Linked DNA regions of Caenorhabditis elegans. The protein of the gene in region 4 interacts with the protein of the main gene of each other region in a pairwise test. Each region holds a gene or a part of one and is shown on either strand. Other genes may lie near its edges. The genes, in order: unc-57, clc-1, mom-1 and let-607.

Region 1 (7,110 bases), 1.9 Mb from region 4:
CATGGTTAAAAAAATGCTGACGTCACATTTTTTGGGCAAAAAAATCCCGCCTTTTTTGTAGATCAAACCATAATGGGACAGTCTGACACCACGGGATAACTTACACTGAAAAAATACTTAATTGATGAATAACAATTCGAAATGCTAGGTATGGTAGTTGGAGTAGATTGAAAGAGTTACATTTCTGAAACTTATAGTTTTTGATCTAACAAATAAAAATTAATTTAATTTACCTTCTTCTGATTGGAACAACTTCTACCTTTTTTAATTCGATTTGAATTCCATAGTGAAGAAAATGGACGAAATGATAGTTGCATTCGTTTCATGTTCAAAAAAAAATCGATGAGATATATGGTGCACAGGTATGAGAGCAGATGGTGCAAGTATATGACGTCACTAATAACATAACTGGGTGTCTGTTTACAGTACTCCTCGTGGACAATATAATATTCCGGATATTTCGAAATTTCGTTTTCATTTCAGTTTTTTATTGATTTTCTTGTTCATCCACTTCTTTTTTTAAACAATTTTAAAATTGATAAGACAAGAAATTTGACTTTTTTCCATCTCCGAGTTCAAAAAAAAAATAGTTTAAAATCAAATTCATATACTCGAAAATAAGTAATTACGAAAATAAGTAATTTTGCAATGAATTTTTTGATGTTGAAAATAAGTTACTAAATAAAGCTAAAAAAACTAATAACATGCTGCTATTTTAAGGGAGATTTGATAAATGCACATTTTTGGTAGTGTAGAGAGTACATAGAATACATGGTAATGTGGGTCAGGGTATTGCTATTGGAAAACGCATCGGGTGTGGCAGACTGGGGGAAAGTAGTGGATGTATATAAAGCAAGTAGTGTTTTAATAAATACAAAGATTTCGGCACAATGGATCAGGAGAATTAACTATTTTAGCCTCATAGAGACCATAGCCCATTCTCTTCTAAATGAGTACTTTTCAGGGGTTCCTAGAGAAAAAGTGAGATTTGGAAAGGGAAATAAAATATTTTTGTGAAATAAAATTCAAGAGACAAAGATGAGGAGCATGGCTTTGGAGTTGGGGAGAAAACGAGAAATTGGCAATAAAACAGCAAAAAATGGAAAGAATTGACTGGGTTTTGGAGGGAGAAATACATTTTTTTTTATTTAAGAGGCACTAGAACCTGTACATAGGTAACAGGGAATAATCCAGTTTTTCCATTCACACGTCCTTCGTACCAATTCTCATCAATTTGTGATACCAACTCAATCAGTGTTCCTTCTTTGAAATCCAGTTCTCCTTCACTTTGAGCATCAAAATCGAATAGAGCTCTGCATTGTGGCTTCTGCTGCTGGGAGAGTGGAGGTGGAAGTCCACCTGGTGGAGGTCCTTGATATGATGGTGGTGCTTGTGTTATTCCTCCTCCATTTTGTGGTGGCATCTTAAACTGGACATAATATTAGAAATTGGATTGAAAATTGAATTACTAGGTTTTTATTCAAAAACAAAATATTCTAATCAAGGGTATCGCTTTTTCGATTTTTTAAAATAAAAATTGAAAAACGAATAGTTTCGATTTAGAAAATTGATTTAAAAAATTCAATCTTCAAATTTTTTATGCTGATGGGAAAATACACAATTCTCTTATAAAAGTAACTTATTTTCAACAAACAAAAAATTCGACTTTAGAAAATTGGTTTTTTTTAATTTGTAGTTTTTTTTCGAGAAAATTTACCCGTTTTAAGAAGAAAATTGACTTTTTTTTTTCATCAACCAAATTTTTAAAAGTTTGAAATTTTTTGTCAATTTTCCCAATATTTTTCCGATTTTTAGGATTTCCGGAAAACCGAAAAATCTGGAATTTTCGTTTTTAAATTTTTAGTTTTGTCGGTTCGAATAGAAATTGATTTTGCGAAAAATTTCTTTAAAAGTTTAGACACTTCTGTTTTTTTAAAGAAAAATTATATGTTTTTTATGAGAAAAAACTAAAAAATTGAAATATTTGGTTAATTTTATCCAGAAAATTGATCAATATTTCGGCTTTCTGAAAAATCAAGAATTTTCAGTTTTCTCGTCTCGAAAAATATCTGAAAAGTTTGATTTTTCAATAAATGTTTCAAAAACATTTTTTAAACATTTTCCGGTCTTTTTACAAGTGTTTTTTTAAAATTATACCATTTTCCAAAAAATTTCAGTAATTGAAATCCGAAAAACTGAATCTCCAAAATTCGTGTTTTTTTTGTTGAAAAGTCGCACTTTTTTCAATTTTTTCTGAAACAAAAAAACGTACGGCTGCGGCTGCCGTAGAATTGTGACTCATATCCGATGGAGCAGGCGATCTGAAACTGAAGAGATGTTTTGGAAGAGGCTTTTAGCATGCAAAAAATAAAAAATCAATCACAATATGAATCAGGGAGTACTGTAGCGGGGGGTACTGTAACGAAATTTAATTCTTATTTTTTTAAAATTAAATTTAGAATGTTTTTTTGGTTGTGTCGTAGAATAATTTTCAATTTTTCGGTTTTTTCAAAGATAATCAAAAATCAAAATTTACGTTGTTTCTTTTAATAATTTTTTTTGAAATTTCTCAACTTTCAAAAAAACTTAAACTAGTCTAGCTTAAAAAACACCGAAAACATTTCAATTTTTCAATATTTTCGTGTCAATCAGTCATTAAACGATCTTTTTACATTCATATTCCTTCCAAAAAAGTATTCCTCCGGCCGTAAAAAGACATAATGCGATGTAATCAATCATAGACTCTGCATGTCTATGTCTGTGCTTCATATGTTTTCCTCCTTTTTATTACTTGTGAATGATGCTTCAGTGCTTTTTCCGTTTCTTAAGAGCACAGGGGGTTTTCTCTTTTTATGATGCGTGGGACCTTTTTAAATCGAAAACAAAAATGGAAAACGCCTAGTTCCGGCTTTATATATTTTTTCGTATCTTTTGAAAAAACTAATTTTCAGGTAGATTTATGAAATAATCTCTGTACTCAAAATTCAAAATTTCTTAAAAATAACTAATTCTATTCTAACTTCTCGTACAATTTTCATGGCGTTTCAAAGTTTTGAGAAGAAAACAAAAATCTAAATTTAGCTTTAAAAAACTTCAATTTTGCCAATTTTTCCGTGCCACAGCGGCCCGAAATTTCAATTAATCCTCCAATATTCAACATTTTTTTTGGTAGTTTATTCAGCTTTTTGGGGCAGCTCCATTTCAATAAAATGTTGGCGAAATTGGAGATTTCAGCTGAATCTCAAAAGTGCATCTCAAGAAATTAGCTGTTTTTTAAAAACTAGGTCTTTTTGAGCGTTCAAAATCTCACAACAAACATGCATTTTCTCACTCTTCATGCTTATACCAACCTGGATCTTGGAGTTCTGCTCTCATTTGCAAGAACTGATAATGGAACATGCTCTTCACGAGGCCTGGCAGCTGCATCTTTGATTCGATGGCCAAGTTGTTGCTGTAGATTTTCGAGACATTGGGCTGTTTGTCGGTGGAAATCGAGTTGGGCTTCAATGAGGGCTCGTAGTTGAGATATTTGCTCGACCTGAAAAGAATTTTTTTGTGATTATATCTAAAAGGGGAAGTGGAAAAAAATTTCAGCAGATTAAAAAAAAATTAAACTTTGACAGCTTATATTGAAAGGAATTGTATAAAATACTGATTAAAAACATAGTATAGAACAGGATCAAAATTCGAACAATCCTCGTGGCCTATGATTTCGCTAGTTAAATTTTGAAGGTTTTTCGTTGATTTTTCTGACATAAAAATTCGAAATCTTAACGGATTTTTCCCGTTTTTCTTTTGTTATATTCGTAAGTTTGAGAATAATCCTTCTTAAAAATAAAACTAAGGGTAACCGATGTCAAATAGCAAGTCTAATAGGGGAAAATAGTAAAAACTTCCAAAAAAAAATCGTAAAACTCACATCATTACTAAGCACATTGAACATTGACATTTCAGCGAGTCGCTTTGATTCTTCCAGCTTCTCCTCCGCCTGAATCATCTCATCATCACGTCGTTGCTGACGCTTTTTGCAGTCGTAGTCAAGTCGACGTCCTTTCAGTTTTGTGCGGTGGTGCTGAATAATGAATTAATAATAAACCCTTTTTTACGCAAAAAAGCTTACATTCACATCTTTCAGCTCATTATTCTGCAAATGTGTTAATGGATCGAGAAAGTTTTGTTTAACATTATCCTCCATTTGATACTTGATATCAGCCATTTGTCGATACGTTTCTGCAGCATCGTTTAGGCTCTGGAATTGAAAAAAATTGTAATTTAAAATTATGATTAAGAAGATTTTGAAGCCGTGCAAAAAATTTTAATCTAAAAAATACCGAAGTAGTGGTTTTCTAATATCAACCTAATGTTTCAATTAAATTATTAATATAAACAAAATAAATAGTAATTTTATTTTTGCTGTATTTTGGTCACATTTTCAGAAATTGCTCACAGAACAAATATTGACAAATGTTGCTAAAAAATGGGTTTTTTTTCAGAAATTAAAATTCCAAAAGGGATGGCAAACCTTTCCCAAATCGCTGTTATCACCCAATTGTTGTCCATATTTCTGCATGACGTCAGCCAACATTCCTTCTGTTTGTGGATACGGTGACGTTTTTGTAGTTCCACGAACTTTTGACAGGGCAACTTGTGTGGCCATTTTTGCTCGAGTAGCTGGATTTGGTTGAAGATATTCATTTGTTCCGGCGACGAGATCCGTAATTAAATTATACGTTGTATCCACATTTTTCTCCATTTCATTGAACACATCGTCAAGTTTTGTTGGCTCTGCGGCGCCCATCGTCTCCGAAAGGTATTGATTCGCCTTGTTGAATTGCTTACGTAACCCCGACAACGACATTTTTCTGAAAATTTTGAGTTTTAGATTCGGAATAACATGTTAATTAATTGATAATTAAAACAACTGAAAATAAATATTCAAAAACCAGACTTATTTTCCTTTAGATTTAAAACACTTGGGAATCACGGTGAGCAAGATTTGAAAGTTTCGATAAAATGAGCTTCTTGAATTCTTGGAGTTTCGCCTGTGGATTTTTTATTTTAAATGAAAGAAAATACCACTTAAAGATCAGATAAAACTGTTGAAAAATTATAAATTCTAATGATTTTGTAATAATAAATTAAAAAGTGTAAAAATAATTTCCACCCTTGTTTCAGCAGTTGGAATACAGTTTTTTTTAATCAAAATATTTATCTTTATTGTATATTTTGGTCGGTTTTCTAGAAAAATTTCGATTATAAGCAAAATTTGGCACTTTTTTCGGATTTTTCATCAAATTTTGAAATTTAAAAACTATTTTTCATAGGTATAATCTGGTATTTTCTATCAATTAAAACAAAAAAATCCACAGACCCTCAGGCTGTATGTAAAACTTTGCATTAAACCTTAAAACTGAGAGAACTAAAGGTTGAACATTATAAATTCATGAAAGAAACTGTGCAGGAAATCTAAAATAAAACTGACATCAGGTAGATCGCTACAAACTTTTTCAAAAGTACAACTCGAATTTTCAGTTCGAAGATAAAATCCTCAAAAGTGCAGTTTTCTCGGAAAAAGCATTCCAAAAAGAAATGCTAATGTGAATGATCTTATGATCTAGGATTTATTCTGATGTACACTTTTATGGTTATAAAGCATGAGAATGAGAACTGAAGGAAGTTTTAAAAACTCTAAATTTCAAAGAAAACAAGTTCCCAGTAGAAAGGTAGAGCTTCAGAAAAGTTGCAAGAAGCAATTAAAGAAAAAGCCTGCTTCGGAGCAAGAGAGGTAGTTAACCATTAACTAGACCTACTTTCGTATTCCGGAAAAAGGCGGGGACACACACACACAACACAACGCCGGACTCTAGTAAAAGGAGAAGCACGGGAGAGAAAGATGGGGGAGGAGAAGCCGTTGTGCACGGAGAGCTCCACCCCCTCATCTTCTTCTTCGTCTTCTTCTCTTCAACACCGCCAACCCCACAGATGTATCGATTCAGTTATTTTCGTTTCGTTCCTCTGTGTCCTCCATCCTCTCTGCCTTTCATTTTTTTTCTCCGACCTCGGGCGCCCTCTTTCCGCGCGAAAAGAGAGAGAAAGATGAGGAAAAACTCACACAGACACACGAAACACACTACTCTCACACATAGTTCCAACCGAAGAGAGCACCCCGAAAAAATAGAAGACGTAGATTACGTAAAGCAAAGAAAACTGAGACGAAGAAGACGCCGTTAGTGGTGGTGGTGTTGTGGGGGAGGAGAAGGTTATTCTTTCTTTTATCTATGTGGCAGATAGAGGGAAAAAAGACGAATCGGTGTATATTTGCTTGTGCATGAAAGACTCTAGCCTACCCACTACTTAATGTTTGTGTGTGTGGATAGGCATAATGATTGGGCACACTCAAGGGTTGCTACTTGGAAAAATCTGGAAAACAATTGGAAAAGTTAAATTTTATCCCGACAGAGAGCATTTGTTGGATAATGATTAACGAAATTTCACTTTCCTAGCATAAAAAGAGTTTTAAAGCTAAATATAATTTAAATGCAGCTTTTTAAAGACGGGGTTGCTTAAAATGCTAGAAAATGGAGCATAATGGTCGAATTTTAAAAAAGTGTTTAAAAATTTATAAAATTATTCTAAATTTCAAGAAAAAAAACCAATGATTTTTCAATTTTGCAAAAAAATTTATGACATTTTCTCGTAAAGAAAACTTGATAACCCGAAAGAAAATCTTCAAAATTGGTCTAAAAATCGATAATTTTACATAAATTTATAATTTTTTATGGAAAACTGAAAACTTGAGAAATGTTTGTTCATTTTTTTTACATTATTGAATTTATTCGGTCCATTTTTATAATTTTAGGCAAAATTCTAACCCTTATGTCTACCAAGATTATGCTTTTCATGCTGTTTTTTATTTGTTCATGAAAAACTTGTTTACAACTGGGTAAAATGATTTTAAAAAATTAAAATTTGAAGATATAATCGATATACAAGTTTTGAAAATGACCGCTTCCAAAGAAGGAATATGGATTTTAATGATTTTCCAGCTCTGCAAGATTTCTGGGACGAGCTTTTTTCTTCAAAAATCAGGGAACTACTAGCAAGAGATTG
Region 2 (4,330 bases), on a different chromosome or scaffold from region 4:
TATCTTAAATAAACAAACGCTCTGCATTGATTTGATGCTAGAATGAGTCAGATGTTTTTTGAAAAGTACTAATCACTTGTTTTTTTCAATCAACTGTTGTTTGTAAACTTTCAGATCTTATAAAATATTTGCAATACTACTTCAATTGTTCAAATTAAGTTTTTTGAGGATATGTTCCAAGAAACTGTTTCTCTGTTTACTTTCATTCCTACTCATTTTTAGTTAGCAATTTGAGAACTTTGTATTAATGGAAACCCAAATCGAACAGATCTACTACATATGATATTTTCGTAATTTGAATTAGCAAAACTCTTTCAGTAGGGATTTATGGAAATTGGAACGTTCGAGAGAAACCAAGCTATGCTAAACCTTTAATTTTTGCCAAGTTGCTTCTATTGCTTATTTTTATAATTTTTTAAAATAATTTGGTCCAGTTTTCAGCGTTTTTTTGATAACTACAGAAATTTTCACTGTGAAATTCAATTTTTTGGTTTTATTTCAAGTCCATCAAAACAAACAAATCCACAATTAGTGTCGTGAACCCGTCGTGAACCCGTGTCGTGAGCATTCTCGATGTTCCAAGTTTCATACGTTTTTTGCAACATGCTGAAATAGACAACATTCTTCTTTTGTATTATAGATTGACATTGGTAGTCTTCAAACTCAAAAAAACCTAAAGGTGGAGTAGCGCTAGTAGGGAAAGAGTGAAAAACTATTCCTATGGTTCCAAAATGACCGAATAGCATAATAAAATGTTTCAAAATTTTTTTGAAAACTTTTTTTTTGTTTACTGTCAAAATGTGAAAATTACTCAGTTTTTGCAACTAATTTCGGAAGTCGACCAAAAAAAGTTTGTTCCTACATTTTTTATCATACTGTAACTTTGTTTTAACTATTTGTAATAGAATATTGTAGTAGTCGGAACATTCGACATAGTTATGGATTTCCTCAAAACTCACATTTTTTTCAAAATTTTGACAACTTGCCAAAACTTTGACCGGAAACTAGAAAACATCTAAAATTTGTTGGAGTTTTTTCTTATGATATTCGGTTGTTTTAGATCATTATAAGTGCATTTAGACGAAATCCCCACTGGTGCTACTCCACCTTTAAAGGTTCGGTTATTTCACATACCTGATACACTTTGAAAAATGTCAAGTCATAAATTCCGTTTATCATTATTGTTTTGGTTATTTAAAACATCAAATAACCTTCTAGTAAATATTATTGTTCAGGCATGTATGATAAAAATCTTGAACAATTTGCTAACGATCTGATTGGAAAATTAATTAGCTTTGATTTTCCAATCTTTACCAAAAAAAAACCAACAATTTAAAGTTATTATTATTTCCACGAAATAAAAATGTTTTCGAATTTTTTATATTTCCAGACGTAAAAAGAAAGTTAGCTGAAACCACCTGTTTCTTGCCAATAAATCAGTTTTTTTTTTAAATATTCACAAAAAAATCATTTGAAAGTTTGAAGCTTGTTTCAAAACATTTTGAGTGAAGCTTACTAAACAAAAGTTTTTGAAAAATGAAAACACGTCACTTTTGTGTTCGCATATACGTGATTCACCGTAAACTCCACTTTTGTAAAACTACGAAAGATACTGGCTGAAATGATAGGAAAATTCGTCGAAATATTTGAGCATCTGACTGTAAGTTGATAACGATTATACGAACTAATCACCGTTTCCATCTGCTCAAAACTCGCTGACTCACAAAGAATTTTAACAGAAATTAAGAAATGGCTCTATGTCAACTTTCAAAATTCTACAACGCCCAACTTGAGTTTCTTATCAACACTTTATTTTTTGGTCTATCTCTTGACTGAATCATACCGAAAACGGTTACATGACGTGTCGAGGAGTTCTACTGATACGAGCAAGCAAACGCTTTATTTCTCTCCACCTCTTTACTTTAAAACTAGCCTAACTCTTGTATATAACACACATTTTTCATATTTTCTATCAAGTTCACGCCGTCCCATCGACATTTAAGGTAAATATTTGAGTGTTCAATCTTATCTATGAAGCATTTTTTTCATTCCAGTTTGTGTGACATAGCACGTTGCCATTCCTTATTTCTTGAAAACTAGTTCGGGTTGTGAAATTTTCTTCCAAAATTGGTCCTTTAGTAATGTAACTTGATACATCAGGTTTTGTGAAAATATTTTGAATGCTTCAAACGACGTTTGTTGTTTTATTTTTCACTCTCCGAGTATCTAAAATCTATTCAAAAATTAAAAAAATCCGTTTTGACTTTTTGCATCTAGTTTTATCACTTCTTCCTGTGTCCCTCCCAAACTTTTACAGCCCAGTTGGCAATGGCGATAAGAAAAACACTGTTTCTGCCCACTTTGAGCATTTATTTCATCATTTTCATATTTTGGTTAAGATGTATAGTTGTCAAATGTGCAGGCTATTTTAGTATTTTGTGCTGTCGTCATTCTTACATTGAAGTGCATTCTCATTCCGTAACTAGGTGGTTGCATAGATGCCACCATGTGTTTGTCTGTCGTCAATAGAAATTTCCATATTTAGGAGAAATTGTTTTCATACTTTTTTAATACTTTTTGTCCGTCAATCTTCTGAAAAAAATATTAAAATTAAAACCATATGTTTCAGGTTCACAATGTGTCTTTCCGGACTCACCCAAATTCTCTATGGACTTATTATGGCTGGTAGTGCTATTTTAACAGCAGTTGCTTTGTTTACGCCAAGTATGTTTCATCTTTGGAGATGTTAGAAAAAGTGAATTTTCAAACTCTCAGGTTGGAATACTGTTGAAAATAATGTGAAAGATATAACTCATATCAACACATCTGAATGGAATGGCTTGATGCCTTGGTCATGTATTGGTCACTCTCAGGGAACCCAGTGTCAGGATTGGTGGGCGGTATGTTGATGAAATTATTTATATGCTCAAAAATACTGTTTTCAGAATCTTCCAGGATGGATGAAATGTGTCGTCGTCTGCATGATCCTCTCTTTGATTGTCCAAATTTTTGCAGTTGTCTACAACTTTTTGACATGGTTAGATTAGCGAAAGCCGACATTAATATAATTCAAACAACTTTCAGCCTTGCCTGCTGCTGCAAGAAATATATCATCCATCCACTCACCCTCTTTGCAGTCATCTCTACTATTCTTCTGCTCATCGCTGTTATTGTTTATGCAGCTGAATGGAATCAATTTACAAATGGAATTAATACAAACTCGCAGGTGAGAATGCTATTCTTAATGTGGGAAAAAGTGTAAAATTATTTGATTGAAACTATTAAACTTCACTAAAACTCTTTTTTTACACATGTTCTAACCCTTTAAAACCCGATTATAAAGCTTTGAGAAACCCTCCCTATCTCACATTGAACAACTTTTTGGCCAATCTGCACATACCCTAAGGCGCAAAAGCTGCTCATAAACCTTTGTTTGTACAAACTCACAACTTAATTTTTCAGCTTGGATACTCGTTTTGGCTTGCAGTTGGAGCCCTCATCTTATCTGCGGCGGATGTCATTTTGGGAGCACTAACAGTGTGTCTTGGGGAACACTGCTGTTAATTAAACTTGATTATATTTATTATTTCCCTGCATTTTCTGTGATATAAACTGCTCAGCCCAGACGTCGGCACCAATCTATTTGTTAAAGCTTTGTAAGATTTTGAACTTGGTTTTTCGCATTTAACGCCGAACTACACTGAAAAAGTGCAAACAAGACTGGCAAGATGGGGACGGCAAAAAATGTAACGGTTTTGTGTTTGTAAAAGGTCTTTTGAACTGTGGTAAGACATGTGAATATGTCTGTTCTTAGTGACACACTGACGTGTCACGAAGATCAGGAGCAATTTTTGTCGATTTTTTTCGACTTGTTGCTCCCAAGTTTGCGGCGTGGGAGGCATCACTACTGAGGCTCGGTCAAAGAACATAGTCAATTATTTCACAGTTTCTTAAGAATTTGAAAAACGCGCGCAGCGAGAAAGATCATTAGTTGAACTCGGAACATAATATGTTAGATGAAATGTAACAATGCCAAGTGTTTGAGCAAAAATTGAAAGATGTATTGTGCAACAAAGGTTGAAAAAGTGAGTCATTGTAAACATTTTGATAGAAGTAAAGATTGGTGAAAATCTTTAGATAGTGACATGAATTCTAAAAAGTTGTTTTTTCTGTGAAAGCAACTGACTGACAATTCAATATATGACTATATACAATATACATATTCCGCTTATTAAAAATGTGTTTTTATTTTATTTTGCACTATTTTTTTAAAATAAACATATTTAAAAATTTGTGTCAAATTAATAGTTTTTATTACAATCACTGAATT
Region 3 (8,051 bases), on a different chromosome or scaffold from region 4:
ATTCTTTGTTAGCCTGACATCTTCTCTGACTGGCACCAACTAGTATATATCCCTTGTTGCATCCATATTCTGCATTTGATCCAAATCGCAAATCACCAGCAGTTCGTATAAATCCATTTTCAATATTTGGAAGTGGGTGGCACATTGCAACTGAATAAAAACAAAAAAGTTCATTTTTTATATTGCTCAATAGACAAGATATTTTTATCACTCACTTGGGTTCACACAGCTCAAGCCACATTCTCCGTCGCACATACATCTTTTGTTTCTTTTACAATCTTCGTCTGCTATACACTCTTTTTTGCAATGTTTCGGCCGTTGTGATAGAGTAACTTCCGGACAAGATAGGGCCGACGCGTAGGTAATGGAGATGGCGAGTAGTAGTAGAAATCGCATTTAATTCATGTGATTTGGTACTATGAAAATTTTAAAAGAGAAATCCGCTTGAGTTCTTGCAAGACGGCATTCTTTCACCAGCTGACACGCAATGTATTGATTGATTGGGGTCTTTTCAAGGGTTCCCATTGTAAAGTTGCTCGAGTATCATGCTTGTCTGATCAATTATTTGCTGCGGGACATTGTGGCAAATAGGAACTGACTGCTGAAAAATTAGAGGTGAAGGTATTTTGATGTGATTTTTGCGGTTTTCACAACTTTCACAGGGTTACAGAAAAATCTTTATTTTTTTATTTTATTTTTCTCCAAAATTTGAATTCAAAAAAGGGGAGAATTTTGAGAAATATCAGTGAAGAAATACAAGTTTATCGCAGGGGCGACAAATCATATTTTTTGGCAAACGTCCTATTTGGAAATCGCCTTTTAGGTTTGAATGATTGTGGAAGTTTGAGATTTTGCAAAAAAATTGGTAGACTGAAAAATATAAAAAAACAGGAAACAGGTTACAATTGTAAATGTTTTGCTTATGAAAAATCCCTTAAAAAGTATTTGGCAAATTGAGTTTAGTTTCGGCAGATGGCCGAAAATGAAAATTTCTGTCAAATCGCCGCACTTTTAGAACAATAATTAATGCTTGCTATTTCAGAACTGTTTCCCCATAGTTGAATTTTAAAAAAAGTGCAAAAAACATTCTCGAAATGGAATAAATTGGACAAGTGAAAAAATCATTTTGAAAAATAAAAAAATATCTGGAGGTATGGGGAATCGAACCCCAGACTTCTCGCATGCAAAGCGAGCGCTCTACCCCTGAGCTATACCCCCGTACGGCATTTGAGTAAGAGACGCAAGTGAATATACATACATTTTCTCTCTCACCCATTGACAAACTGGTTGCCTCCCCGCGAGGTGTTCCTGTGAAGCGGGGGGGGGGGGGGTGTTCTGCGAGTTGTTGGTTTGCTGTTGAGATGAAGAAAAATAGCTTCTCGCGGACGAGAAAGTGCAGCTAATTTCATTTTTTTTTTTTTGGAAAATGGTTTTTTATTGCTCTCTATTATTGAGAAAACAAGAGATGATCTTAAACATTATTTTTTGCAAAAACTGTTATCTTGTCTTTTTTCATTTTAAATATGTAATTTGTAATTTCATCACATATCTGTAAAATGAACTCATCAAACAATAGTGCTGACCGTTGTAAAAATGAACCGCAATCTCCGAAATAAAACTTTAATTCTTTTAGGGACACTCAAATCTTCCCCCAACAAAACTATACTTTTTTTGGTTCCATTTGTTTGATTTACCATGTTACGCTTAAATGTACTTCACTTGACCGATCCGACCATAAAACTTTGGTTGCATGTCCAAGGCACATCTGTTGTGTGTGACCTCTCCCCACATTCCGGCGTAGCCTCGTTTACATTTGTCCCCTTTTGTTAGACGCAAGAACTATGCAAATTCGCTCTATTTCACTCGTACAGACAGTTGTTTTTGTTTTGGTTTGAATTGGGTTTTCTGGGTTAATTCTAGGTTTTTTCTAGCTTTTTAGTTTTTTTGCCGTTTGGTAATCGTTAATATTTCATCAATTTCAAAAATTTTCAGAAAATGGATAATGGTCACGGGTATGAAGAATTCGAATTATTAGAAGATGGATCGCTTGGAGAGTGCTCGACACAAGTGGCAAATGCAACATTTCTCACAATTTCAAAGTTGATATGTTTGGTCGTTGCATTCAAATTCATCAAACATATACGTAAGTTTTGATAAAAATATAAACTGAGACAAAAATACCTAACAAAATGTTTTAAAAACTTTGTTTCAAACAAATTTGTTTCTAATTTGTTGTTATGTTCAAATTGGAAAACACATGTGCTTGCTTTATTAATCTTGCCAAAAAAAAAATGACTAAAATTTTCACAAAGTAAGACTGATCTAGCTAGAGATAAGAGCTCCATGGTGAGACGGTAGTCTTAAGTGGAGTAACGCCAGTGCGGAAATTGTTAAAAACGACTTCTATGGTGCAAAAATAGCCAACTATTATATTAGCACTTTACGAAACTTCTTATTTTGTTTCAATAAGTGGTAAAAACTCAGTTTCTGCATCCATCTTTAAAAGTTGTCTATTGAAAAAATTTCCTTTGAATTTTATGTTCTTGTTTCAAACATTAATATTTAAACATTGTAGGGATTCGAGCATGCGACAGTGCTATATTTATCTCGAATATTGGCGAAAACTCAAAAATTGCCACATTTTGACAGTCAGAAAAAAGGTTCTAAAATTTTTTGAAAAGTTTTAACATGATATCTGGTCATTTTAGCACCACAGATGTGGTTTTTACATCTGCATACTCTTTTAGTAGTGCGGTTTTATAAACTAATTAACTAATTACTATTAACTAATAATTAACTAAATTAATAAATAATTAACTAATTACTAATAAACTAATTAACAAACTAAATAATTAACAGAGTTTCCTACTGGATAGAAAATTTTATCCACAGAAAAATGTTTCATAATTTGATAACCGATGTTTCAAATTATGTATGTATTGAAAAACATACTAAACCTATTATTTTAGAAGGAAAACGTGAAAATTTCGAAACCAAGTCATTCATTCGTTCGGGAATTCAAAAGTTACTGAGTATTTTTATAGTTGCAAAATTTAAGAAATCATAGTAGTAAATCAGTTTTGTGTGATTTTTTCAAAAACTGGTCAATTTCAGTCTTTTAGCAAATTAATTCCCCTTTTTGTAGCAATTTCAACAACGGTTCGTGTCTATGTACATGTCTTCGCCAGTACTTTCACAGTTATGTGGTTTTCAAGAAATCACCTACAATCGGCTATCATTTACAACATGTTCAGTTTGATATCGCTTGCACTGGCCATCAAACAATTTAGTGGATACATCATTCTTGCAGGGAACATCTCTCTTCTGATTGCATTGTAAGTATTTTTTTTATAAGTCAAGCGTTTGTAAAATTTGTGGGACAAATTAAAAAATTTTTAGGCAAAACTTCTGCCGACACTACAGATCCGAAGACTACTTTTTGTCCATTCGTGGAATTTTGATGATCCATATAATGAGACTGACCACGGTTGCCTTCAATCTGGAAAAAGCGAATAGCAACAAATTCCGATTTGTTCAGTTTTCCAGTTATGTTGAGTACATTTACTTCCCACCGTTCATCATTTTCGGGCCCTATTTGAGTTTTGAGCAGTTTTTCAAAATGAGAGACAAAAAGTGGACAGGATCTGAGGTTTGTTGTGAAGTTTTGGGAACTAAGTCGTAAGACTATTAGTAAGTTCTAAGTGTCAAAGTGTTAAATACGTTTCAAAATTTTTAATCAGAAAATTTTAAACCATGGCTACAGTTTTGAATTTGATTTCAGAGTTGACCTTATAGGAGCGCTACTTTTGAATAAAAAGTGTAACATAACTACAAACCAGCCTCCGATTGCTGTAAAACAGAACTGTCAGCAAAATAGGAAACTTCAATTAAAATTTGGCAATTTTTTAAAAAGTTTCGAAACCCCTAAACGTTTTTAGCAATTTGTAAGAACTTCAATTATGACGTTTAGTTTTTCGGGGACTTTTGAAGAATAATAATAAAAAATTGACCCGTGAGTCCTCCTTCAATTAAAAACCCGAGATTTCATTGGTAATAATAAGAATAATATATCACTATTTTTAGAATGAGCTCGGCTTCATTATTCAGTCTCTCCTTGCAATCTTCAATGCGATCACTCTGGCAATCATATCTTCGTGTCATTTTGAATTCTTCGAACCTTCATCTCAATTTATGGAAGATGCTCTGACAGCTATGTCGTTCCGGTTCAGTCACTATTTTGTCTGTCTAAGCACTCAAGGTAGCCAAACATTCTTGTCTGTTGAAGATAAACTGACATGTTTTTTCAGCATTTGTGTTGATGTTAGGATCAGATGTAGTCGTTGCCAATCCATTGAATATTGAATTCTCCAGATCAACATTACAAACGGTCTCAGAATGGAACAAACCATTTCATACATTCCTGCATGAAAGTGAGTAAATTTATTTTAACAAATGATCGGAAGTGAATCTAATCAACATATAATACATGAAGTCATGTTCAAATACACTATTTTTTATTGACTTTGAAGAAATCTTCTACGTATTGTTATTTGATTAGGGTTTTCTTCCATAGTTCGTTGTTGGCATCGGACAACAACGGCCAATAGAGGGCAATCAGGTGACATCGGGCAATTAGCGGGTTGCAGCAGGCTATTGGGGTCGGGCAACAGTGGGATGTTGCGGGTGAATAGCGGGCCATCTAACCTCAAATTATTTGAAAAACGTCGCCCGTTATTTCTCACCTACTTGCCCGCTATCACCCGCTACTCACCCGATAGTCACCCGATAGTCACCTACTGATATTCCGCTACTTGTCCATTTTTGCCTCATTCACTGTTAATGCTTGCGTAAGATCTATAAAGCAGATTCATTTTAATTATTTGAAGAGCTTTTTTTTTTAATCAACAAACTTAAAATTGGAAACAAACGATACATTTCGTTTTTTCAGATATAATATTTTTCAGATATTTTCAAAAGGCGGTTGTTCAATTCCACTGCATGTAACGTTTTCTTCACGTTTGCAGTCAGCTCACTTTTGCACGGTCTTGACTTCCAAATGACCATTACACTATTGGCTCTTGGTTTTATTGCCTATTCGGAAACTGGTAAGTGAATTAAGAGATTTTGCGGTCAAATTGAGGTTGAATTTAAAGTAACTTTTATCTATGTTATATGGAAACAATACATGTAATTTTATATATTTCAAAAGTTACTGCAAAATGTCTCTACTCCACTTGTATAGTTTAAGATTTTTTTTTCAGTTTTCCGAAAACGACTTTCTGCCCGATACTCAATGTGTGTTGCTGCCAAAGCCTGCCCTGTCCGTTCAAACAGTCTTTCCTGCAAGCACAGACACTCAAACGTGAGTAATTATTTTAAGCGAAGGGACACCCAATCGATTGCCCATTTACATTTGGCGCAGGGGGTCACCATAGATAGGTATCGCGCAGGGAAGATTTACCGCCTTTCGCTTATTTAGTAGGGCACGCAAATTAGTATGCTTAACTGTTAGAAACACGATAAAACACGAATAAATTAACCACGGGCCCTTTTTTGGACACATTTGGAGTTTGCAAATATCGCATGGTTTATAAATTTAAGAATTTGCAAGAGTTGTCCAAAATAAATTGAGCTAACAATAATTTTGAACGTTATGAAACGTTATGATCAAAACATGACGTTATAAATAGTTTTTTGTCAGAAAGGGTATACGTTCCAAGTCAAAGTTTACTTTTCTGAATTTAGACTTTTTTGACTTGATATTATGATAACGTTTAATGTTTGTAATTTGAAACATACTTTGTTTTACTACTACATGTTCAGTGAGTTTCAAAAAATAACAACAAAATCATGATACTTGTTTCATTTTACGTTTTATTTTCATTCAAAGTAGCAATAGAATTTTGAATGAACAAACCCAGAAAAAAATCAAATTTCTAGGAAAAATCTACATATTTGGAATAAAACTAACTAGGCAATGGTCAAAACACTAAGTGGCCATTTAGCCCAAGACGTAGTTAAGATAAATATTAAAATGTAAAGAGAATATTAAAATCAAAAAAAAAATCTTGAAGATAACAGAATATTTTCAAAGCCTGAGTTATAACACATTTTTTAAAGTTAGGTTGTGTGGAAAAGTCTTCTTCGAAACTGCTTATTTCAATATGCTAATTTGAACTTTTAGAAAAAAAAACCATTGAAATGTAGGATATTGTTCGTTTAATTTAGAATTAACATTTACTTCTGTCTAAAATTTTTTAAAAAGACGTCGAATAGTGCATGTAAATTGTAGCTTACCAAAAACAAATTTTCAAAACAATTTAGCTGCATATGACAATTTTATGACACTTTTGAGACCTTTTTCGAACTGCAATTAGAAAATTTATTTTAGCTCTAACAAACGTTGTTCTACATTTCTAAAAGAATTTTTGATTCATATCGTTAGATTATGAGATATGGCTGTTTAATTTCAAAAGTTTCACATTGCCGGACACTAATTAAAACCAAATCCGAGCCACGCCACCAGGCTCATAATCACAGCTCATTTCTTGTATTGCTCCACACGTTTCATTCAAGTTTCCATTTGGTAAAATATCATGGTTTCTTTCCAAATTAATTCCTTTTTTGAAGGAAACACTAAAATTGTTAACTTATTTTACAGAAAACAGGACGTGCTTTGATCATCAATTTGTTCTTCCTTATGCTTTCCATGTACCATCTTGTGTTCACTGGAATGACGTTCACCGACGACTATTCTGCAATTGGCTATCCTTTTGATCACGCCTGGAAGATTTGGGGATCTCATTACTATTCGAGTTTCATGATTTCTTTCCTATTTCTTGCCCTGTCTAAAATAATCTGAGGTTTTGAAAAGCTGAAATTCAGTTGTCAACATTTTTCAACAAAACCGTTTTCTATGCTTTAGTTCTCAGTCCTGGCCATGTTCTCTTACGAGCTAAAACTAAAAATCTATTTTTTCTGTTTAATGACTCAAACTCGGTTAAGAATTTTTCTTTGCAATTGTTTTAGTTACGATCTTTTCATCCTATGAATTATTCATTCCGCGTTGTACAGAAGCATACATTTTGATTTGCAAAATGTATTTACTTGAAAGTTAATCACACTGTGAAACACATTAACATCCATGTGAAAATAATAAAAGAACACTTTGGTTTTACACTAGTTTGCTTAAAAAATATTAGAAGCGTTGAAATATAAACTTGCGTTGTAAGCACGAAAACGGTCAAATAACCAATTTTAAAAAGATGACAGGGAATGTGGCGTGTCATGAAATTGCATGTCTAAAATCAGGAGCAAAGAGTGAAAATTATTATCAAAATATCTCAACTTTTAGAAAACTGCAACAATCAGTAAGAATTCACATTCTTTCTCTATTAGCTAATAATTCATTTCAATTTCCAATTTACTCATGATAAAGGTCTAGACTTCTCACGTTTCTAGCCACATATACATTTTATGTAACGAAACAGTGACGGTCCATAAGTTGAAACCAACTGCAGTAACTCGTCGTTTGCGTGGCGACACCTATGCACGTAAGATCTGACAAAAATACTCCTCTCCAAGCGTCTACCAAATATCAAAATTAGTTTGGTAAATAAAATAAAAACCAAAAGAGTGTATGAGTTCGCGTCTTTTTCTGGGTAGTTGATAGCCAACATTAAAAAATGCCACGGCTTCTGAGAACCAACCGATTTTTTTTCTGGTTTAAAACTCAAAATCAAATTCAGCTATGAATTTTTAGTAACGATTGAATTCATGAAATATTATGTCACAAAATAATTATTTTTGATAATAAAACAGGAATATATGTTGTCTGTTGTTGTTAAACAAAGCACATGAAAAAGTTGATCTAAACTAAATAAATTAAGTTTTAAAGTGGTATTATACTTTTAATAAAAAATTGTTTAAAGTTAAAAAAAACATTTAATTTTTCAGATTTCAGTTGAACTGAATCTTTTTTCAACAACTTAAAACCAACCTAAAATTTCAGAGATGCAACTTAAATGGATAGTACGATCCTTTTTTCTTTA
Region 4 (5,317 bases):
CCGGCGTTGCTGACAAAATGATTGAACAACTCGAGGCTGGAACTCATCCATTCATTATGTGCAACTTTGCTCCACCAGATATGGTCGGGCATACGGGAGTCTATGAAGCTGCTGTCAAGGCCTGTGAAGCTACTGATATCGCAATCGGAAGAATCTATGAAGCAACTCAAAAGCACGGATACTCACTTATGGTTACTGCTGATCACGGAAATGCTGAAAAGATGAAGGCTCCAGATGGTGGAAAACACACTGCTCACACATGTTACCGTGTTCCACTCACTTTGAGCCATCCAGGATTCAAATTTGTCGATGTGAGTTTTTGTCAAACGTTTGAAATTTTTATTTAAAAAAAAACAGAAACCCATATGTTAAATGAAAATATTAATTTACAAACGGGTGTAAATAGCTATTCACTTCACACGTTTACAGCCAGCCGACCGTCATCCGGCCCTTTGTGATGTTGCTCCAACAGTTCTCGCTATTATGGGACTCCCTCAACCAGCTGAAATGACTGGGGTCTCGATTGTTCAGAAGATCTAGATTCAAGTACAATGATTTCAATATTCAAGTTCTATGAACTATATTTTCTACAGTATTCTTTTGTCCAATTTCTTCCCAATTACCTACTATTCAATTCTGTTTATAGTCTGAAAATTTTTATGTATTTAGATCCTTAAATTAGTATGAATAAAATTATATTGCACTGAGAAAATATTTCATTCATTACTATGACCTGTCGGATGACTCATATTCTATTTGCTATTTATGTTTTTTTTCTTGCTCCGGAATGAGCTCTGTAGTCAGTTGCTCAACATTTTTGAAGGGTCAATTGATGGTGACATTTGGCCAATAGACACACTGAGCACATCTGCGGAGCACTCTGACGGCTCGCAAAAGATTGATTTGATCGGACTTTTACTGGGACGAACTGAGAAAAACCATTGGTTTTCTCTGCGTCTCTTAATTTCTCAAACTCTCTTGATTTAGTATCTTATCGTTTCTTCTAATGCTCTCTCTGTGTGACATTTTTCATTATAGTTTCTCGAAAATTCTTTGGAGAAAATGTTGCTAGCATTTTGATGTCACTTTCGTTTGAAAACTCCAGAAACCTCGCCTTTTCCTTATCGTTTTTTAGCATCACTCAGTTAAAATGACCTATTTGTGCCACGAACCCAGTTTTATTGAGAAAAATCGAAATTACTAGGTGAAATTCTATTTTTCGTTGACTTTGAATACGTGTTTGATCGAATTTTGATGAAGCAAAAAACATGAAAATTACATGACCTTGCCCTAGATACGTGGCTACATGGCCTGACCTTTTAATTAACAGAAAATTTTAGGATTTTTTTAGGATTTAATCAGCAGATCATAGATTTTAAAGAATTACATCGTTTTTTAAATCTTCAGAATATTTTTCTGGTTTTTAAGTAAATGTACATTTTATAAACTTTACAAAGTGTAAATAAGAAAAATTATTTTGTTGAGAAAAAAATCGAGCATACAAAAATTGAGACCCGAAGAACTCGGGGGATGTCCTATTGGGGGGATTACCAACTCGGGGGATTGGCCCCGCCCACAGAACCGTGGCTTGCAATACGCCCATTTCTGCAACTGCCGCACGGTTTTAAAACTGTATTTTTCTCAATAGAGCGAGAATTAACAAGAAAAAATAATTTTAAAACCGTGCGGCAGTTGCAAAAATGGGCGTATTGCAAGCCACGGTTCTGTGGGCGGGGCCAATCCCCCGAGTTGGTAATCCCCCAATAGGACATCCCCCGAGTTCTTCGGGTCTCCAAAAATTCAGAAAACTATATGGAAAAGGAAAAAAGGCAATTGGACATAATAATTTTTATATCCTTCACAATTTTCTGAAACTCAGAGATTTATTCAAATGATTTTTTGTTGGTGTTTTCAGTGTCCACTTTGAAAAAAATTCCGCAAAAGTTTCCGCAAATTGTTTTTCTCGTGGCGAGACCCATCCGAAAAAATCCGTGCGCCTTTAGAAACGCATTACGGTACTTGTCGAGGCTTCTTTTTCAAATATTTACGTTGAATTTGTGTTTTCTTCGTTATTTTCAGATTAATATAATATTAATCCATTCAAATCTTTCAGAAACTTCCCCAAGCGGTCTTCTCATCTCAAAATTTGCCACGTGGCCACGCTCTCTTCTCCATAAATCTGAAGAAGGTGGGTTTTCAGTTAATGTTTATCTTTTAAAATTATTTAAATTTCCAACAAAAAAAAAACAAACGAAGTGACGTTGTTAATTCAAATGCTCGCGTCATTCCTCCACTAAAGAGTCCAGTATTCAGGACTTTCTCTCTTTTTTCCTCTTCTTCTTCAATTCTAGCTCTGTTTATGGAATAGCCGTTTTTAGCTGCTCTCCCCGTTTCGCTTTCTTTCCATCTTTTCGTTTCCTCAATCCAAATTATATTTTCACTTCCCTTTTCAGCTTCTTTTTCACTGTTTCTTTGCTGCTCGCTTCTGCATTCATTTCCGCCCACATTCAGTGAAAGAAAGCTCTTGACATTTATTTTAGTCAACGGATAGCAGCCAGTTTTGGGCTGAAAATGGATAATTTACACTAAATACTCGATAGCAAAAATTCAAAAAAAATTATGGAATTTCTGTCTTAAAAGGGATTCGTGAATTCTAGAACTATTTCGTATCGATCATAAATTTTATAAATCCCCTAAACTTTCGAATATCTGTACATAAATGTAATCCTTTCCGATTTTGTAAAACCGGTTTCCTGTGGTGAACGACTTGTTATTCTACAAGTTTTCTTAACTTATTCTCGAACCTTCTCCTTTCTTCTTCTTCTTCTCATTTTCCTTTCCGTCATCTTTCCCGCATTGAATAACAAGATCTACATACCGTTAGTGATTCCCTTTTTGTGTAGAAATACAAACGATTTACACGAACAAGGAAGTTTGTACCGAGAGAGAGAGAGGAACTTGGAATGGAAGAGAAACATTATTTCTCTCTTTTCACTTCCTAATAAGAGAATGAATATAATGACCAGAAAGCAGTAGAGAAGAAGCCAGAAGTGTGTGGACAAGCGGACGCGACGAGATTATAATTGATACGGTTTTCGAAGATGAAGTGACAGCGAAAAGAGGATGAAGCCCGGTTTCGGTGCGATAATGATGAGGAAAAAGTGAACGGATTTTGAAGATTTAGGAACTTTTATTTGAGAATATCACTTAAAAATGTTGAAAGATTTTGGAAATTCAGATTTTCTCGTTCCGGGGCCATAACTCGAAAAATTATGAAATATTGTGCGTTCTTTGTTGAAAAATTAATTTAGCCTTTCAATAGCTCAATTATGAAACATACATATATCTTCAATTTTAAAAACTATCCTCTATTTTCATTGAAATCCGATAGGAATGTCAGTAAATAAAATATCAGTTGAATAAAGCACGTGCTCATTAGACCGAAATGGCTCATCTCATTTTCCATCTCCATAGATAATCAAAACATTGTATTTGTTTGGTTTGAAGATTAATTCTTATTTATAAATATGATTTGAAAATAGGAGAAAATTTTATGTTTTTGAAGTGTGCTCACAACCGGAAAATCAAAAAAATTGTAATGACAACTAGGGTACGGTATCTATGAGTAATTTCCACGATTACCTCTTTGAAAGTATATGAAGCCAGTTAGTATTGTTGTTTTTCGAAAAAAATTTGCTGTTTCCCAGATTCCGTATAGTTTTTTTTCTTGTCACTCGTTTACATAATTACATCCACTCCTTTGGCTTCTTCTGCTTCAAGTTTCCATTCGTTTTTTGACATGTCTCAGTTTGAAGTATGAATTCTTTTTTCAATTGTTATTTATCCCGTTCTTCGTGTTGGCATTTCTTTTCTGAACATAACTGGAACTAGAGCGTGGATAGACTCACAATCTATTTAGATGATGTCCATAAAACACTTGGGATCTTTAACTTACACAAAATATATGTGCGTCAAAATATGAAAAAATAATAATATTTCCGGCTGATTCTCCGTTTTCCAATATTCCCGTCAATGGCCTGCGTTCTGTTCTGATTTTTTTCATGGCCAACAATAAAATATTTATTTTTCACTTTCCTCTCCATCTTTCTTTGCAATATAGTTATTCCTGTGGTTCTTTTCACTTTTTTCATAGAAAGTTCTGCGATGAAATTGGACGGTTTTGTTAGCTAAATTTCAATATTCTAGATCCACCAAAATACTCTATTTGCATATAATAAGTAGGATGTACGTACCTGTATAAATATCATTGCTCTCTTTCACAAAACCCGACAGTATCCATGAGTCATTTGCGTCTCTGTTATGAATGTATGGTATATGTATGAATTACGCACTATTCCTCTTTTTTCTGTGTTCTCTTGTCCGGCTAGCTGAAGTAGTAATAGTAGTACTTGACCAACAGTGAAAAGTGTGATCGACGAACGAATACCGTCATATTCTGGTTTTGTAGAGGTTTTTGGGAAATAGTGTTGGACGAAAACTTTCAATACATCCAAATTCGCATTGAATTGTCATTACTTCAATCGGTTTTTTCTTTTAATATTTTTGCCTGGAGTACCGTTTTTTAGCGTCAAGGCTATAATCTAGTTTTCATGCTGCTATATATATTTTTAAAACTATTTTGTACGTGGCCTTCGATAATTTCGGCTCATCTTTCACTGGTTCTCATGGCAGTTTATATTATTTGCGCGATCTGTTTGTGGGATTAGCGCACCTAAACGGATAACCCAAAGGTAATGTCGGCATGTCATCCGTCTCAATCAAAAGAAGCAAAAGAGATGGCGCAATAACCTTTCCGAGATTTGATTGGAGAAAAACGAATACAGTTTATCGCATTGCGGACGTCATGTCTCCGGGTAACCTGCTGGGTAATTGGAGGCGGCAAGTGTTCTTGAAATCTCAATTGATCTAGAGGGGATCAAAATGAAATTCTAGAGTAATCAAACAGATATGAGAACCACTTTATTACCATTCTTATTTTTTAGCGTTCTCTTTGCGGCCCACGTTAGATTAGTTGATAGAATATCTCACGAAAAGCCGATTCGAATTGGAACTTTGATTTCCTAGATGTCACCTAAACGACAGCAGTGTTCCTAATTCACACCCACCTTCTCAAAAGTCAAGACATTATGTCCTTGGAACATGGAACCTTAGACAAGTCCTTGGAAGTCTGAAGAAAACCACTTGTTTTTCTTATTGGTCCATCCCTATCTGACTGCTCAAGGTCTTTCTGGTACTTTACTACCGAATGTTACGTGCATCATTCTCCATACAACACTTGCTGGTCCCTTACTATTGT

Evidence for each region.
Region 1: the proteins of let-607 (region 4) and unc-57 interact in a two-hybrid assay, tested with the Caenorhabditis elegans proteins (one large-scale study listed by BioGRID).
Region 2: the proteins of let-607 (region 4) and clc-1 interact in a two-hybrid assay, tested with the Caenorhabditis elegans proteins (one large-scale study listed by BioGRID).
Region 3: the proteins of let-607 (region 4) and mom-1 interact in a two-hybrid assay, tested with the Caenorhabditis elegans proteins (one large-scale study listed by BioGRID).

What each region holds. Positions count from the first base shown.
Region 1 is NC_003279.8:4,672,887-4,679,996, reverse strand, and holds unc-57 (Endophilin-A homolog), read right to left. Parts: upstream 4,863-7,110; 5' UTR 4,859-4,862; coding exon 4,523-4,858; intron 4,250-4,522; coding exon 4,121-4,249; intron 4,073-4,120; coding exon 3,920-4,072; intron 3,539-3,919; coding exon 3,351-3,538; intron 2,328-3,350; coding exon 2,273-2,327; intron 1,430-2,272; coding exon 1,145-1,429; 3' UTR 590-1,144; downstream 1-589. Other genes in the region: T04D1.2 (F-box domain-containing protein), read right to left, coding at 105-184, 234-326. UniProt on the Caenorhabditis elegans protein: Involved in synaptic vesicle (SV) recycling in neurons probably by regulating clathrin-mediated endocytosis. By controlling SV endocytosis, regulates the rate of excitatory postsynaptic currents (EPSCs) at neuromuscular junctions and thus locomotion.
Region 2 is NC_003284.9:11,045,607-11,049,936, forward strand, and holds clc-1 (Claudin), read left to right. Parts: upstream 1-1,839; 5' UTR 1,840-2,003; intron 2,004-2,629; 5' UTR 2,630-2,636; coding exon 2,637-2,724; intron 2,725-2,775; coding exon 2,776-2,900; intron 2,901-2,945; coding exon 2,946-3,037; intron 3,038-3,084; coding exon 3,085-3,226; intron 3,227-3,462; coding exon 3,463-3,564; 3' UTR 3,565-3,669; downstream 3,670-4,330.
Region 3 is NC_003284.9:6,291,132-6,299,182, forward strand, and holds mom-1 (Protein-serine O-palmitoleoyltransferase porcupine), read left to right. Parts: upstream 1-1,980; 5' UTR 1,981-1,995; coding exon 1,996-2,143; intron 2,144-3,145; coding exon 3,146-3,335; intron 3,336-3,399; coding exon 3,400-3,649; intron 3,650-4,083; coding exon 4,084-4,258; intron 4,259-4,307; coding exon 4,308-4,430; intron 4,431-4,964; coding exon 4,965-5,105; intron 5,106-5,261; coding exon 5,262-5,362; intron 5,363-6,661; coding exon 6,662-6,862; 3' UTR 6,863-7,174; downstream 7,175-8,051. Other genes in the region: Protein lev-9, read right to left, coding at 1-150, 216-396.
Region 4 is NC_003279.8:6,571,891-6,577,207, forward strand, and holds the start of let-607 (CREB-H transcription factor homolog let-607), read left to right. Parts: upstream 1-2,113; 5' UTR 2,114-2,188; intron 2,189-5,317. Other genes in the region: ipgm-1 (2,3-bisphosphoglycerate-independent phosphoglycerate mutase), read left to right, coding at 1-311, 430-540. UniProt on the Caenorhabditis elegans protein: Probable transcription factor, required during migration of the gonadal distal tip cells (DTC). Probably regulates cell adhesion of DTCs via modulation of expression of genes involved in integrin-mediated adhesion, including tln-1, src-1, and integrin pat-2.